2 linked regions of the Oreochromis niloticus genome follow. The protein of the gene in region 1 interacts with the protein of each later gene in a pairwise test. Links are inferred from orthologs where the notes say so. Each region holds a gene or a part of one and is shown on either strand. Other genes may lie near its edges.

What was found. The genes of interacting proteins can lie anywhere in the genome.
Region 2: the proteins of wdr6 (region 1) and g2e3 interact in a two-hybrid assay, tested with the Homo sapiens proteins (2 studies listed by BioGRID and IntAct). The two-hybrid records come from large-scale screens. The link is inferred for Oreochromis niloticus from reciprocal best matches to the Homo sapiens genes WDR6 and G2E3.

The regions. Positions count from the first base shown.
Region 1 is NC_031984.2:25,360,255-25,367,950, reverse strand, and holds the start of wdr6 (tRNA (34-2'-O)-methyltransferase regulator WDR6), read left to right. Parts: upstream 1-4,695; 5' UTR 4,696-4,846; intron 4,847-4,854; exon of another isoform or gene 4,855-5,045; intron 5,046-5,123; 5' UTR 5,124-5,205; coding exon 5,206-5,275; intron 5,276-5,550; coding exon 5,551-5,685; intron 5,686-5,977; coding exon 5,978-7,696. Other genes in the region: uncharacterized protein fsbp, read right to left, coding at 1-13, 1,621-1,789, 1,914-1,957, 3,985-4,189. UniProt on the Homo sapiens protein: Together with methyltransferase FTSJ1, methylates the 2'-O-ribose of nucleotides at position 34 of the tRNA anticodon loop of substrate tRNAs. Required for the correct positioning of the substrate tRNA for methylation.
Region 2 is NC_031983.2:3,798,899-3,806,411, forward strand, and holds the start of g2e3 (G2/M phase-specific E3 ubiquitin-protein ligase), read right to left. Parts: upstream 3,011-7,513; 5' UTR 2,834-3,010; intron 1,243-2,833; 5' UTR 1,227-1,242; coding exon 1,169-1,226; intron 835-1,168; coding exon 737-834; intron 310-736; coding exon 208-309; intron 1-207. Other genes in the region: ehd4 (EH domain-containing protein 4), read left to right, coding at 6,125-6,354. UniProt on the Homo sapiens protein: E3 ubiquitin-protein ligase which accepts ubiquitin from an E2 ubiquitin-conjugating enzyme in the form of a thioester and then directly transfers the ubiquitin to targeted substrates. Essential in early embryonic development to prevent apoptotic death.

The DNA of each region.
Region 1 (7,696 bases):
AGCCTGGAGGTGCCTGAGAGGTCAAAGTTAAAAAACTTCACTGTGGTCTGTACTACAAAGCACAATCTGAGGTTTGCAAGGCAACTTTAGATTCACTTTTCTTGCTTTCAAGGCTGTTTAACACCTGGAGCTGCAGTTTTAATTTTAAAAAACAAAACAACTTCATTCCAGTCAGATCTACCTGTGCCTTAATGCCAGAACAGCAAAGCTGATAAAGCTATTGTCTTACACAGTTTTAGCCTGGACTATATTTTGAAAATCCTCAGATTTATTTAGGATAAAAGTTTTTCCTTCTTGCGAGCCGCTTTGCGATCTGATGCAGGCACAGCTGTGCTTACTATTAGACTCAAAAAGCCCGAGTTGGCTCACCAAAGGTATACCTTGTCACAGGTAAAGAAAGCTAAACTAAATAAATACAGCAAGTTATAGTTTGTGTTCGATATAATATGTGTCACAGGGCTTAGATGGGAAATGCTATGAATTAATTAGAAAAGTGTCTTAATAAAGTGGGTAAATGAAAACAGACTTGAACATGCGTTTGCAGTACAGCCACAGGTGTAAGCTGATGATTTAAATATCCATGTGTGAGATTGTCATACAGTATCTGGGTAAATTCAATAACTGTATCATCGAATGAAAATCTATTTAGAACTCTGTAAAGAAAAATTCTAATTTACTGACCTGAATGCTTTTTCTGGATCCATCCCGATCACTTTTGCCTCTATTTATGAAATTATGAATGCAGAAAAGTACTGTACTACACGCAATACCAACAGGAAAGACTGTCAGCATGAAACACACACACAAACAGTGAAAACATAGCTGGATAGGAAAACATAACCTGGAGAACTATTCCTGAAGACTAGCTCGCCTATGAGAGTTCAGGCTGTGTTTGGTCACACCAAACAATGACTTTCAAGCTCGTCACAACTGTATGTACTCTACTTTTTGCCTCAAATATTACATTTAGGTTTGCGTATTTTAATAAATCGCTGCACATATTTCCCATTCTCCTCAAAAAATATAAAGAAATGATGAGTGGCTCAAGATTTTTGCACAGTACTGTAGGTTGTCAAAACATTCAATTTCAGCCACAAATGGGAGCCTCGGAGATAAATTAGAGGAAAAGCAGAGGAATGAACTAAACAGCTATTTAGTCTCATATTTATGATGCACAGTGAGTGTGTAACACCATGGTACACACTGTAAACAGGCACTCCAAACAGCATACCCCTGCTATTTTGGAGACTATTCCTTGAACTCTATTAATTGGGCTATCAATCTTCTTAATGACAGTAATTTATTTAGGTTGGTCACATGGGCTGCTTCTTCCCATTCACAATCTTCTAATGAGCATTCAACACTAAAGCCATCTCTGCAGCAAAACAGCTGTAACTTATTGAAGTCTGTGTATAATTACGCCCTTTCCTCCTCACCCTTAGTAATGTTAACTGAGCCAATTATCTCCTTCAGCTCAAGGTTATTGTTTCTTAATTAAGAGTGGAGTATTAATCAAGTTAATAGTAGAATATCCCACTATTTGCCCACAGAAAGTTCCCTGCTCAAGGGTTTCCAAGCAACACATGCTCAAGCAGCTTGCGGGGTGTTATTTGTTGGTACCTGGTGCTGTGAAGTAGGCAGCAGGGAATGCCACATCCTGTAGCTCTGCATTGTGGGAGGCTGAGTTTGTAGAGGGGCTGTGGTGCAGATCTGACCAGTCGTTGCCTGTTATTCTGTCCAAGGCGTCACGCTGGAGGCAGATGGCCACTTGCTCCTTGCTGTCCTCTGCCTAAGAAGGAGGCGAGCCATTTGGTGTTTCTAGGATTAATGTTTCTGTCTGAATCTAAGGTGTCACGAGCAGCTCCAGGTTTACCTCTTAAATAAAATGAAACCAAAACTTTAAAAGTAATTACCTGATTCACGCTGCCATTCACCTGTCCTGTGATCATCAAACTGCCTGATAATAAGAAAAAAAAAAGAAAAAAAAGGATAATGAGAAAAAACAGGGAGGGACTGCAGGTATAGGTCTATCAGAAAAATGAACAAAGAGCGCCTCCCTCTGGTGGACACAAGCACAACATCATCACAAAGCACCTTACACAATCATGATGCCCATCAATAAAAGCAGAAATTATATCAGAGCGTCTGCAAAGCAAACCTAGAAAATAAAAGTCCACAAAGTAAGTGCTGTCAGTAAACTGTTGCCAGGTAGAGTTCACTAAATGGAATCAAGTGAAAAATCTAAAACGCATCCACTTTAACATTAAAAACAGGGGTTATTCAACCAACTCCCAGGCTGACTTCATTATACTGTAAGACACTTTTAGTAACTGTTGGGTTAACTGACCATTTCTTGGTGTAGATGATCAGTATCATGAAAAAGCGGGACAGTCATAAAATGAGCACAGTCCTTTTAATCGCTCTGTAAACAGAGTGATACAATATTATTACAATACTTCACTTGTGACTTGATATTATTGTGATTTAACATTTTACTCATAATTCTGAATATTGCAATAACATATTGTGATTTATCACCGTTTTCAACTGCAAATAATGTTGCAGTTACATGCAACGTGCTTCTAAAAAAAAAGCAGCAATTAACTGAAAATCATATATGTGCTGCTGTATACACAGAAAGAAGTTCACATGTAATTACTACATCTGTGCTCAACAGCCTTCCTGTTCTTTAGGACCAGAGTACAAGTAGCTGATACATAGAGCTGTACTCTGGGAATACTACGAATGAGAGGGCTGATCTCATGTATCACCATGCAGAGACAACGTTAGCAGAGCAAACTTACACGAAATCAACTCTGACCCCAAAACCATCCAACACACTTTTCTTGACAAAGCTACCTCCTAATTCAAAGCAAGCTCATGGCTCAGTCACATGAGTAAAAATAGGACAACAACCTTCTTAAATCTACACACACACACACACACACACACACACACACACACAAAAAAAATTACTTTTCACAGGTTGAATAACAGGAGGCAACCTTTCTGCAAAAAGTCGCAGTCTGACTTGGACCGACTGCAATCACTCTCAGACTGACTGTCGAATCTGAAGGTTTGCAAAATAACTGTTGTCTAATTTGTGAAGGCAGACAGATCACCAACATGTGACCATCAGTCTGAATGAGTCTGTATCAGTGAGCATGACTCGAGGGGACTTGAATCAACAGGCTGCTGCCTGGTTGTAATTTAGTTATATTCCTATAGAACATGAAGGCTAACATCATATTGGAAAATATGAAAAATCCCAATAATATCATATCGTGGTGTGTCTGATGATTCCCACCTCTCAATGTTAAACACAGTTCAAGTTTTCATGCCTGTGCTCTCAGGTTACATCAAAGACATAACAACAACAATAATAATAATTTTTCATTTAATTAAAAAAAAATCTATAATGCTAAAGAGCTTTAAAAGAAAAAGAAACCCGGAAAAACAAACATAAACCTTTAAATTATCTTAATTAAATCCATTGCTTAACCCCTTGAGCTACGCAGTAGACCAAACTAATGCACCTTATATTCATTGTATTCTAAAAATGTATTAATGATCCATAATTTAATAATAATGGAAACATAGTTGCTATCCCAGGAGGAAGTCTTATTACTTCAGCGGACTCTGGATGCTGGCTGCTGGTCCTTGCTGTTGTTTTTAGGCTATAATGACACGGGATATAAAACCTTAAATCAAAGACATAACAGACACCATTTAAAGCAACTCTGAAATTGCATAAACTGTACAGCTGTGCTCGGTGATGTCCTGATGACCGCTCGTCCTGGGACAGATGTTTTTACACTCCTGTCTAGACTGGTGTAGCCAAACGCACACACACCAACGATAACACCACATCACGATTAAACCATCTGAACAAACAGCGATGAAGCAGTTATCACACAAAGATCTCGTGAATTCTGTCATTCCTTTCAAAATGTTCTCCAGTCTGAAAAACTGGAAGTGACCCACCTTCCAGCAGCTTGCGGACCGCTGCTTTGTGGCCAGCTCCCCCTGCGTGGCTGGTAAGAGCAGCCTCGCCCATCGTCTGAAGTTTGATTGATTTGCAACAGGCCCTGCATCGGGCAAAATGAATGTCCTGGACGTCCTTAACCAGCCAGTCCTTGTAAACATCCTTTGCGAGCCAGGAATCTTGGAATTTACATTTGCCAGGCATAGTTAGCTCTAAAAGTTAGCTGGACCGCTACCTCCCAGCCTGGAGCAACCTCTTACATTATATACTGCCTCGTGATGCGTTCACGTGTTCTCCGAGGATTTGAAGACACAATTACGCTGTGGCGCACGAATCTTTTGGCATTAGGTTACAAAATATCGTGAAAACGTTATAATTTAAACGCTGAGATAATTAACATGACTTTCCAGTTATGTACCCCAAATCCCACTGAAGTAGGCAACGCAGTAGAGTCAGAGTGCCTGAATCTCATCACTACAGGTGCAGCTGTGGAATTAAAATGATAATAATGGCTTTTTGTATAACGAAGTGGAAGTATAAGCGCTTTGAAACTTCTTAGTAGGTATCCTGATATTTTAAGATAAATGCCTGCGACTAGGGCTACTGACTGAGTTTGAGCGAACATCCTTAAACGCAGCATAACATAGAAGGCTGTCCCTCACGTGCACAGAGTTCACCAATAAAAATACGATTAACCTCCTACTAGCCAATCAGCGTTGAGAATGCCGGTAGTCCAGCTTGATTGGTTGAAACCCGGCAAGAACGTCTGTACAGAAACACATGGGTACCAGACTGCCTTTTGGTGGACGTTAATAATGATCTTATAACGTTTCTGAACACTTTCCTGCATTGGGAGCGTGTGTAAGTAGGCACGCCGCGATATTATTGTTTACCTGTTAAAGTTTTCTGCCGTTGGATATCTTATTCCTTTCCAAATAAGACGAGAAGAACTCCTTCTGTTAGCTTGTTTTGCTAATCATAAGGGTAATGCTCACTCAGCATTGGACGTTAGTAAATACAACAGCAGACTGCACTACCCGGAGTCTCAGCATTCTTTAAAGTACGATTTGTGATTTGTAAGTTAAAACTGCATATCTTCCATTCATAACGGTCTTATTTTTTCGGCTGCTCTCTTTAGGGGTCGCCACAGCGGGTCATCTGTCTGTATCCCACCGTATCCCTGTCATGTGCCTTTGGTGACCGCAGTTAATCATTAAGTGATGGAGACGGTGGCCCTGGTTGCTCCAGTTACAGCTTTGGAGTTCCTTCAGGATGCATTTCTAATTAAAGGTTAGTGTTCAACATACAAGATAAGCAAGTGGTTATTCTTGTGATGCACTGCTGTGCTTTATCCACAGTGCTTCTATATTAACTGCATTTTTGTTACGAGTTCTTTATTGTTAAACTTTAACTTATTCAGAACTTCTTCATTTTGTATCTGTGCCACGTTCTCTTTGTAACTCTGGTTGCTGTAATGGTTGGCTTGAACTTTAGAGTTCCAAATTTTGTTAAGTACTGCACAATACAAACACAGACAAACACGCACAACTTTTCTTTTGTGGCAGGTGAGGGTCCGGTCTTGTCGGTGTACAGACTCAAGCCTCGCCCTAAAGCCTGTGCCTCTTTGAGCGTTCTCCATCATTACCGGATTCATGGAATAAGACCCAGAAGGTGGGAAGCTGTGCCATCACGGAGTGCCGGTTAGTATGAGCTGATGCTTTTTGGGGGGGTTTTTTTGTCTTTTTTTGTTTGATTGTTTTTAGTATATGTTAATATATAGAGAAAATTATTTACAAAGCGATAAGAAAGTGAAAGAGAAGCAAGTCTGGAACCAAGAATGGATTCTCAGCAATGATAAAAGTTAAATTATAAACAATTATTTATTGCGTATTTAAACTTTTTATTCACGTAAAGCCTCTAGCTATTTTTGCTCTAATTTTTCAATTTTAAAACATTTTTAATATACATAATTTTTTTGCTCTTATTCACCAGCACTGAGCACTACAGAGCCAAATGTCTGTGACCTTGCAGTATTTGGAGGCAAAGCTGTGAGGCTTGTAAGGTTCCGCGTGGAGGATGGGGAGCAACTTCGCCTGGAGGTCCTGGGCCCCCTCATGGAGCTACAGGACTGGGCTCTGGATGTCCGCTGGCTCTCTGAAGACAAACAGCCACTGCTGTGTGTGGCTCTTGCTCATAATAGTGCTCTTCTCTTGGATGTCGCAAAAGGAAATGCCCTGGTGCAGCGTACCTGTCTGGAGGGCTGTTTGCTGTACTCTGCTCTTCTTCTGGTTCATGAATCCTGGGTGGATACTGTCATAGTTGGAGGGACTGTGTTCAATCAGCTGGTTCTCTGGAAGCCCGGAGGAGGAGACAAAAGTAGCAATCCTGAAAACAAGGCTCCAATTGAAAGGCGTCTACTGGGCCACACTGGGGTCATCTTCAGTATCTCTTACCTCCAGGAGAAAGGATATTTAGCTTCAGCCTCTGATGACCGCAGTGTACGGGTGTGGGGTGTTGGCACTTTAGGTGGGCCTGAAGGGAAATGTGGGGACTTGAACCCAGTTTGTTTAAGGATCCTATATGGACATCAGGCCAGGGTGTTCTCAGTCCATCTCTCATCAGGGAATATCTTCAGCGCTGGGGAAGATGGGACCTGTTTAGTCTGGGACTGGGCTGGAAGCGGGAAGGTGGTTCGCACGTTGAAGGGACACCGAGCAGGGGGTGTTCGTGCACTGGCAGTCAGTGAGGGAGAGGAAGCGAGCTGGGTGGCTACAGGAGGGGCGGATGGAGGGGTAAGGTTGTGGCGAGTGGAGGGCAATGAGAAGAAGGTGTGTCTAGAGGAGGAGGCAGTGACAGAGAAACTGACTGACCTGAAATTTCCTGGTCAAGGCCTGCCTAAAGTTGTTTGCTTAGCAGGAGAAGAGGATGGCAGTACAAGCTGGAGTCAGTGTAAGCCTGTAGTTTGCACTGACAAAGGAGTAGTTTACCAGTATAATGTTGGGAAGTGGGAAGTAGTGTGGAATGGGACTCCAGAGTTCCAGTCCTACTGTGTGATGGAAACGATAACTATCACTGTGAAGGAGTCGACAACCAAAGTTGATTTGTGTGCTGTGGGAAACCTCAGTGGGTGCTTACAGATCTTTCCCATGTCTCATCCTCAGTCTGGAATTCTGCTTACATGTGGATCAGGGAAGATCCATACTCTTATTTGGCACAAGGGAAAAGAGTGTGCGTATTTGTTAGCTTCAGGTGCTGAAGGACGTGTCTATCGCTGGTGTGTAGAGACAAAATTCAGTGAAACCTGTTCTTTAGCTCTCAGCATCACTGCTCTACCTTCTTTCCTCCTCCCCTCGTGCGCTAAGCGCTGGCTTACAGCTGCAGTGCGCCTCCAGTGCAGGTCAAGGGAGGTGCTTTGGGTGTGTGGAGACAGGAGAGGATCCCTGCTTCTGTTTCAGGAAAGAGAAAACTCAAAGCAAAGAAAAGGAGATGGTGAGGACACAAATGAAGAATTACTGACAGATGGTAAACAAGGTGATAATGAGGAAAGCGGGTCTGAGGCAGAGGGGAAAGGCAAGATGGAGAATGAAGAAAGCAAAGAGATGCATGACCTGTTGCTGCATCCTCTGAGCTGTCTGTTTGGGGTGCACGGGAAACAAGGTGTAACCTCAGTGTATGAGTACCAAGGCTTGTTCTACAGCACTGGCAGGGACG
Region 2 (7,513 bases), on another chromosome or scaffold:
GTGAGTGCCATGTTGAACTACTAATGACCAGTATGATTTACACTGTCCTACAAGCTGTACACTGATTACTTTACATTGTATCAGAGTGTTATCCCTTGGAAAGATATAATAAAATATTTCCAAAAAGTAAGGGGTGTATTCACTTTTGTAAGATACTGTAGAGCTCTTAGTATATGCAAGGTAATATTGTAATACTGAACTGCTCACCAGTCGAGTCGACCGGCGGACCTCCTGTTTGATGTCCTCCACCAGGAAACCAAAGATGCCTTCGTCTTCCTCTCCTCGCTGATAAACTCCACAAGACGTTAGCTGAGACAAACACATGCATACAATATTATTAAGACACACTCTTAACAAACAGACCCTTTTAAAGCATTTTTAATATAAGAAAATACGTCATTGTCACTTTATTTGTGGGACAGAAAAATACAAACCATGAGCCCTCTTGTTTTGTGGTGACTATGCTCCCTCCTCTAATATTTACCTCCAAATAAATTCACTTAAATCATAATGAGGTCATAGAATAAATCATTTCCTGCTTTGTTTGCTTGTTTTATTTATTTATTTTTATATTCGATTGTGTCTTGGTTTGTACAAGTCTTTCAGAAAGAATATTTTTAATGCTATAACTGTTGGTCAGGCACTTGTAAAGCAAGTCTCAATAAAGTATGACCGCTTGAAGCCTGAAAAAGACATATTCCTGTGAAAACAGAAATACTTGCAGGCTTTGTCTTACCAAGCAGAAGTAGTGGACAGAGATTTTATGTTCTTTGAGTGTGACTTTCTCCCCAAACATGGCTGGGTCATCATCACTGCACCTACACAGAGCACAGCCTGCAGATACACACAAAATATGCAAACTTTCATTCAACTGAAAATGCTTTCTCAAGGCCCTAAAAGACATCATCATTAATGCTCATTAAGGTTTTAACGTATGTAAGTGAGAAATGTGAAGATATAGCTTTAGTTGGTGATTTTTTTTTTTTTAACAGTAAGAGCACTACATCTAAAACCACAGCGCCAACACAACAGAGCTGAAAAGTCAAGCCTAACACACAACACACAGTGGTTGGAATTAGTAGTCAAAAGGTGGTTCAAATACACATTAGTCAACTAAAAAACAGCAGCAGCACATATTGACTTCCAACTGTGTGTGAAAGTCACTCACACTCCTCCTGGACACTGTTTGTGTGCGTCTCCTGCGACCTCCTTGCCTTCTTCTTCATGTTTGTGTGAATCAACCTGCAAGAAAATGAAAGACCACATTTACTGAGCTTTTACAAACACTGTCATCACAACATGCTGACTACATGCTCACTACATAACGCAGCGGGTTATTGAACAGCTGACCATATTTGACTTCCCTGAAAAGAATTCAGGTTGATGATAAACTCCCAAGCTTTCCCATTGTTACTCGTTTTCTCGTAAAAATGGTTTGGAATGAATTTACAGACATATTCTAGCCCCAAATACCTGTGACTGTCCGGTCATTAAACTGAAAGTGAAGCTAAAGTTCAACATAAAATTTAGAGCTCAAATTTGTTTGAGCTCTAATAGTAAGTCCCGCACCACTTGCATATATGCATACATTTCAAGCAAATTCATTATGAAATTACAAAAATGACATTATATAACAAGAACAATTTGACTCATCACAAAAATATATTTTTTAATTAAACAAATAACAGTAGAAAGTTAAAAAAAAAAACTCCCCTTCAGTGTAAACTTTAACAATAAAATACATGTAGAATGTCTGAGAACTGAAGAGACAACAATATTTATTTTAACGTAATGTATCCTTTAGCATTCATGGTGCCTTTACGGATGTAATAGTTTAAAAAACAAACAAGCCTCCTTTCAGGTGCTTTCGTGCTCTTTCTTTATTACCTGGGAGGACATGCCTACAGCTGCTCCTACATTTCCAAGAAATACATCACGTTTTTATTAGTCGGGCAAAAGGACTGTTTTATCCATTTCACTTCAGCAACCATCCTGGTATCACCTCCAGGCAATTATTTAGGCAGAAACACTGCTCTTAAATTATTTAGTCAGCCTTTCAGATTAATCTGCATTTTTCATTTTTTATTCAGCCTGTTTGAAGCTTCTTCTTTTTTTTTAAACATACGGTTAAAATACAAATTGAATTGAACAAGCATATTTTTTTTTTAGCAAAAATAATATTTTCTTTTGATTTTATTTACATTTTACAAAGAAGTCTCACTTTATTAGAAACAGGGTTAAATACTGGAAGTCACTGACGGCCTCTCATAAGGTTAATCGAGCCTGAAAGTCTTACAGTGATGTCTCATTGTGTTTTGTTACACACACACCGAAAACAACAAAAAACACAGATAATAATATCAGCTAAATAAAAATAAATAACAACAATAATAAAAAGTTAATCTTTATGTCTGGAAGGATTCTTCTTTTGATATTTCCTTAAATACAACTAAAATTAGTATTTAATTATAATATTATAGAAACTATAAAAACAATAAAAACAGTGGAATTATTTTCTGTGGCAGCTCTAAAAGCTTCCGCTATGTTAAGATCGACAGACCTACAGTCAGTTATGACAGTAACTGACCAAATGTTCCACGATGCCTAACATTGCGTTATAGCTACTCCATTATACTCCTATCTGTAAACATTTAGTCGGAAAAATACATTAAGTGCATTACTAAGTGCATTACGAAAGACAAACTAAGAAAGAAAATAGGAGTTTGAACACATTCTGCTGAGCTGTCTCAGTTCAGCTGAGACGTTGACATCAAAGAAAAGCTCGGTTTCAAACGCAACCTAAACACTACAAAATGTTTCTCCGGTGACTTACTTTACATTCAGGGGTGACGAGTGTTAGTTTGCGTCCATTTTCCTGTCGTTTTTTGAAGGCTTACTCCAAATGCTTTTGTTTATTTCCGACTAACGCCGTGGAGCCGTCGAGTTTTTAAATTTCCCTCTTTCAAAACAAAAGAATCTGATTTCCGCTTCCGCCTCTTCTTCGTTTGCTTTAGAGGCTTTTTCGCACTAGGCTTTCATTTGCCTACACGTGCGCCCCCTGATGGTTGGTGTTGATAATGCTTTCAATAATATTAAACATCTCAACAGATGGCGAAAAACTAAGATATGTGAAGGAAATAAATCTGGATTAAAAACAGTGTCTCCATAATATATACACAAACTACATTTTTAAGGTAGGTAAAGTTATAAGAATTTTACTAAAATGTAACTTTGGTAATCATGATACACACTTGGTATTTCAAAATTAACTTGAGTTAAAAGTTATGACTTTGACACAGGATCTCATCATTTGGACTTTTGAATAATAACAATATTAATAATAATATGGTTTTTAGCAGGTCTTAAAATTAGGTAAATACAACCTCTTCATTGACTACAGCTCGGCATTTAACACCATCTTCCCCTCAAAACTTGCCACGAAGCTTGTTGACCTTGGGCTAGGAACACAAATCTGCAGATGGATTCCAAACTTCCTCACAAACAGGCCCCAGGTGGTGAGAGTTGGTAAGCACACCTCCTCATCACTCATTCTAAACACAGGAACGCCACAGGGTTGTGTGCTTAGCCGACTGTGTTGCTAAACATGAGTCCAACATCATCATCATGTTTGCGGATGACACAACCACATCACAGACAACGATGAGACGGCCTATAGAGAGGAGGTGATGGCACTGTACAAGTGGTGTCTGGAAAATAACCTGTCTCTCAACATCAGCAAAACTAGAGAAATGATAGTGGACTACCGGAAACGACCAGTCAGGACATTTATCTTCAACGATGCCTCCGCACAGCACACAGCATCATCAAAGACCACAGCCACTCAGCACATAAGCTCTTCTCCTTGTTACCATCTGGCAGACGTTACAGGAGTCTGTCTGCTCGGACTACAAGTCTTAAAAACAGTTTCTAACATCAAGCCATACGACACCTCAACCACAACACTTAAACACACACAACGCACTCCACAGGATGCACTCAGAAGCTACCCTGCAGCTGCACAAGTACACTGTACAATCTGCACTGGTCACTCCACTTTATTGGTATTTATATTAGGGGGAAAAAAAAGTGCAATACTGTACTAACTGCCAAAAAATTTTTGTACTGTTCAGTCTGTACTGCTGCTCATTCCTGCCACTGTGCAATATCCCATTTGCCACCCCCCCCCCCCCCCCCCCTCACAATCCTATTTAAGATTTTCTTTATTTAATCACTAGTTTGTGCATATATTTATATATACATATATATATTTAGTCTGTTAACTGTTAATAAAATATAGTAAAAGAAAAAAGATTAATATTTTGCCCTTTACTATTTTTTCTACTGTACCATTCTGCTGAGTGACTGTCTTCTGCTCGTCAAATACATTTCATTGCAATGTTGACCCTGTGCTAACTTGCATATGACAAATAAAACTGAAAACTGAAACTGAAACTACAAAACATGACATAATACACAGTGTTGTTATTTATTAATAAACACTAAGCAAATATGCAGAAACAGTTTGTGAAAAAGCAAGTAAGTAAGTCAATAAGATTCAGTAGCTTGAGGAACCACCTATGCCAGTAATAAGTCACTTGAAGGACGAAGATTTTTTTGTCCAATTTTCTCCCACATCACTGTGGGGGAATTTTAGTCAACTCTTCTTTAAAAAAATGTTACTTCAATTCATTGATGTTTACAGATATTCCTTTATGAATAGCTCTCTTAATAACTCACTACAGTATTTCAGTCAGGCTGATGTCTGGACTTTCACTGGCTGGTTGCAACACCATGATATTTTTTTCTTTTTAGATTTGCTACTGTGCTTGGTCTCATTTTGCTACTGCATGATCCACTGAAAGGGAAGGTGTACACCCTTTTAAATTATACAATACCAGGATCAGCCAAAAAAATAAATATGTTTAAAATGACAATTTCTGTTTTGGCCCTTGACTATTTTAACTTCCAGCAATTTAATCCTTATAGAACACACACGCTGCATTTGTTTTTTAGTAACAGTGGGTGCTACAGGACAGCACCTCCCTATAACAACATGCAGCTCTATTTTCACATTATCATTTAAAAACTGTATTTACACAGTTTATCTGTGTTTATTACCATTATTATTAATAGTAGTAGTAGTATTTCATGATCTGAAACATTTAAATGTGATAAATATTTAAAAAAAAAACAAACTAACAAATCAAGAAGTAGGCAAATATTTTTTCATGGCACTATTTAACATATATTGTTGCACCTGTCTCACTTTCTTCGCTGTCCTAAGTTACTTTCCACCACTAAAGGACAGTTTAGTGGTGGAAAGTAACTTAGTATATTTACTTGATTACTGTCCTTTGAGTGTTTCTACTTTTCGGCTTTCTACTTTAAAATAGTTTGATTGAAGTTACTGTATGTTGGCTTTAGTTACTTATCATTATACTTATACTAATATATGTTACTGCATTATTACAGATTAAGCCTAAAGTAACTAGAACCATCTCCTGTTGCTTTATTAAAGGAATAGAAACATTAATGAATCAGTATTATGATCTAATCGCTACTCTCATTTATATGAGTCTGCATAATGAGCACTTTTAGTTCAAGTTAAACCTTCCGTACTATTCCATCCGTGGCTTAATTAGGCTACAGTTAGTTTTTACTTACTTTCATGTCATACATCTGTATGAGGGCCTAAAAAACTATCCATGTGTTTAATGTCTCCACAGGATTTGTTTGTGAGCAAATATTCAGATTTGTCGCTAGATGTGGCGAAAGCACTCCTGTGCTGTTGCGGAGGCTTCTGTGATACCCTGTCAGAACATTCTTGAAACGTCCCCGTATGTGCGTTATGCGTGTGTGTGTGTGAGAGAGAGTCTGTGTCGTCACGGGGGAAGGGCGGTGCCCCCAGGTAAGCACATCAGCACCCTCCACATCACCAACACACGCCCAGAGCAGCACACAGAGGAGGCACAGTGCTGAGAGTAGCAGAGATTCCGTGGAGCCAGACACACACAGTTCCCTCCGCTCAGGCTAAGGACGGAGCTCACAGAGAAGGAGGCGAAAACAGCCGCAATATTTGGAAACATCGAAACAAGGAAGTTGGATACAGAACACAGCAGAAAGCATGTTCAGCTGGGTCAAACAGGAGCAGGGTGGCAGCAACAAAGAAGGAGAGATGTACCAGACCGTTACGGAGGGACTGCAGACTCTCTACACCAAGAAGCTGCTGCCGCTGGAAGAGACCTACCTCTTCCATGACTTCCACTCCCCGGCCCTAGAGGCTGCTGACTTCCAGAGTAAACCCATGGTACTGCTGGTCGGCCAGTACTCCACTGGGAAAACCACCTTCATCAGGTACTGACCAACAACTGACTAGTATTCTTGTCTGTGGAGAGGCTGAAAGGGCAGGGAATTGTACTAGATGTAGGGAAAAAAGCCCACCTCTATTTTTGTTGCATCACTTGAATGTTATTTGGTGGGACCTCGTGCCAGATCATGTTAAAATGTCACAATTGAAGACGCGTTTAATTTCAGATAAGATTAGAGAAGTGTTACAGGACACTATAACGTGTCAAAGAAATCCCGGAAGCCTTGTGGGGAAATCGGCTGGTATAGCATCCCGCAAAGCAAGTCTTTATTCTAGGAAACAGAAATTCCTAATTATGCCCCCCCCCAAGATTCAGTGACATCAGCAACTCAACTTGAAATACAATTGAAAGACAAACACCGTGGGGATCCCAAATTTGTGCCGAAGTGACTTTTACTATCCTTTCTTATTGGGAGTGAGCTGTGGCATTATGAATGACAGGAAGCAAACAAGTTAAATTCACAGTCGTGACTTATGCAAACAGAGTGAGATTTCAACACTACTGTGCCTTCATCAGAGTCAGAGTGGACAAACACACAAGGAAAACACAGCCAACCCTTTGAATCTATTAGATAATGAATCAAAGTTTAAATTATTCTGTTCCACTATTTCAGAAACAGAGAAAAAAAAATGACATGACCACCTCAGTTAAGTGCGATACGCCAAAGTAAACATAATCGCTACGTAAGTCGATGCCACAGGGGTGACATCATATCAGGAACAGAACCAAAAATACAGTCTGCTTTTAAAGGTCATCAGGGTACAAAAATAATCACCAAACAAACCAAAAACCACATATAACCAACAGGAACAGAAAACAAAGTGTACCTCTTGGCGGGGGGGGGGGGGGGGGGGGGGGGGGGGAGACAAAGTCACCCTGAGAATTAACTTTCAAAATTAGATGTAGAATTTTTTTTAAAAACATGGAATAAGGTAAAAGTTAACTGGAACAGTTCAGGATCCCTGCCAGTTTTAGGTTCCTCCTTCAATATTGGACAATTGCTAATAAATAATTTAGCTGCAAAAGAAATAATATGTAAGGGCCAGATTAAAAGTATGGAGTTCTTTTCTTTATGGGTAAACTGACAGTAGTATTGTCCTGTTGCATAAACCTTAATAATATATTTTCAGTTTTCTGGCTAAACT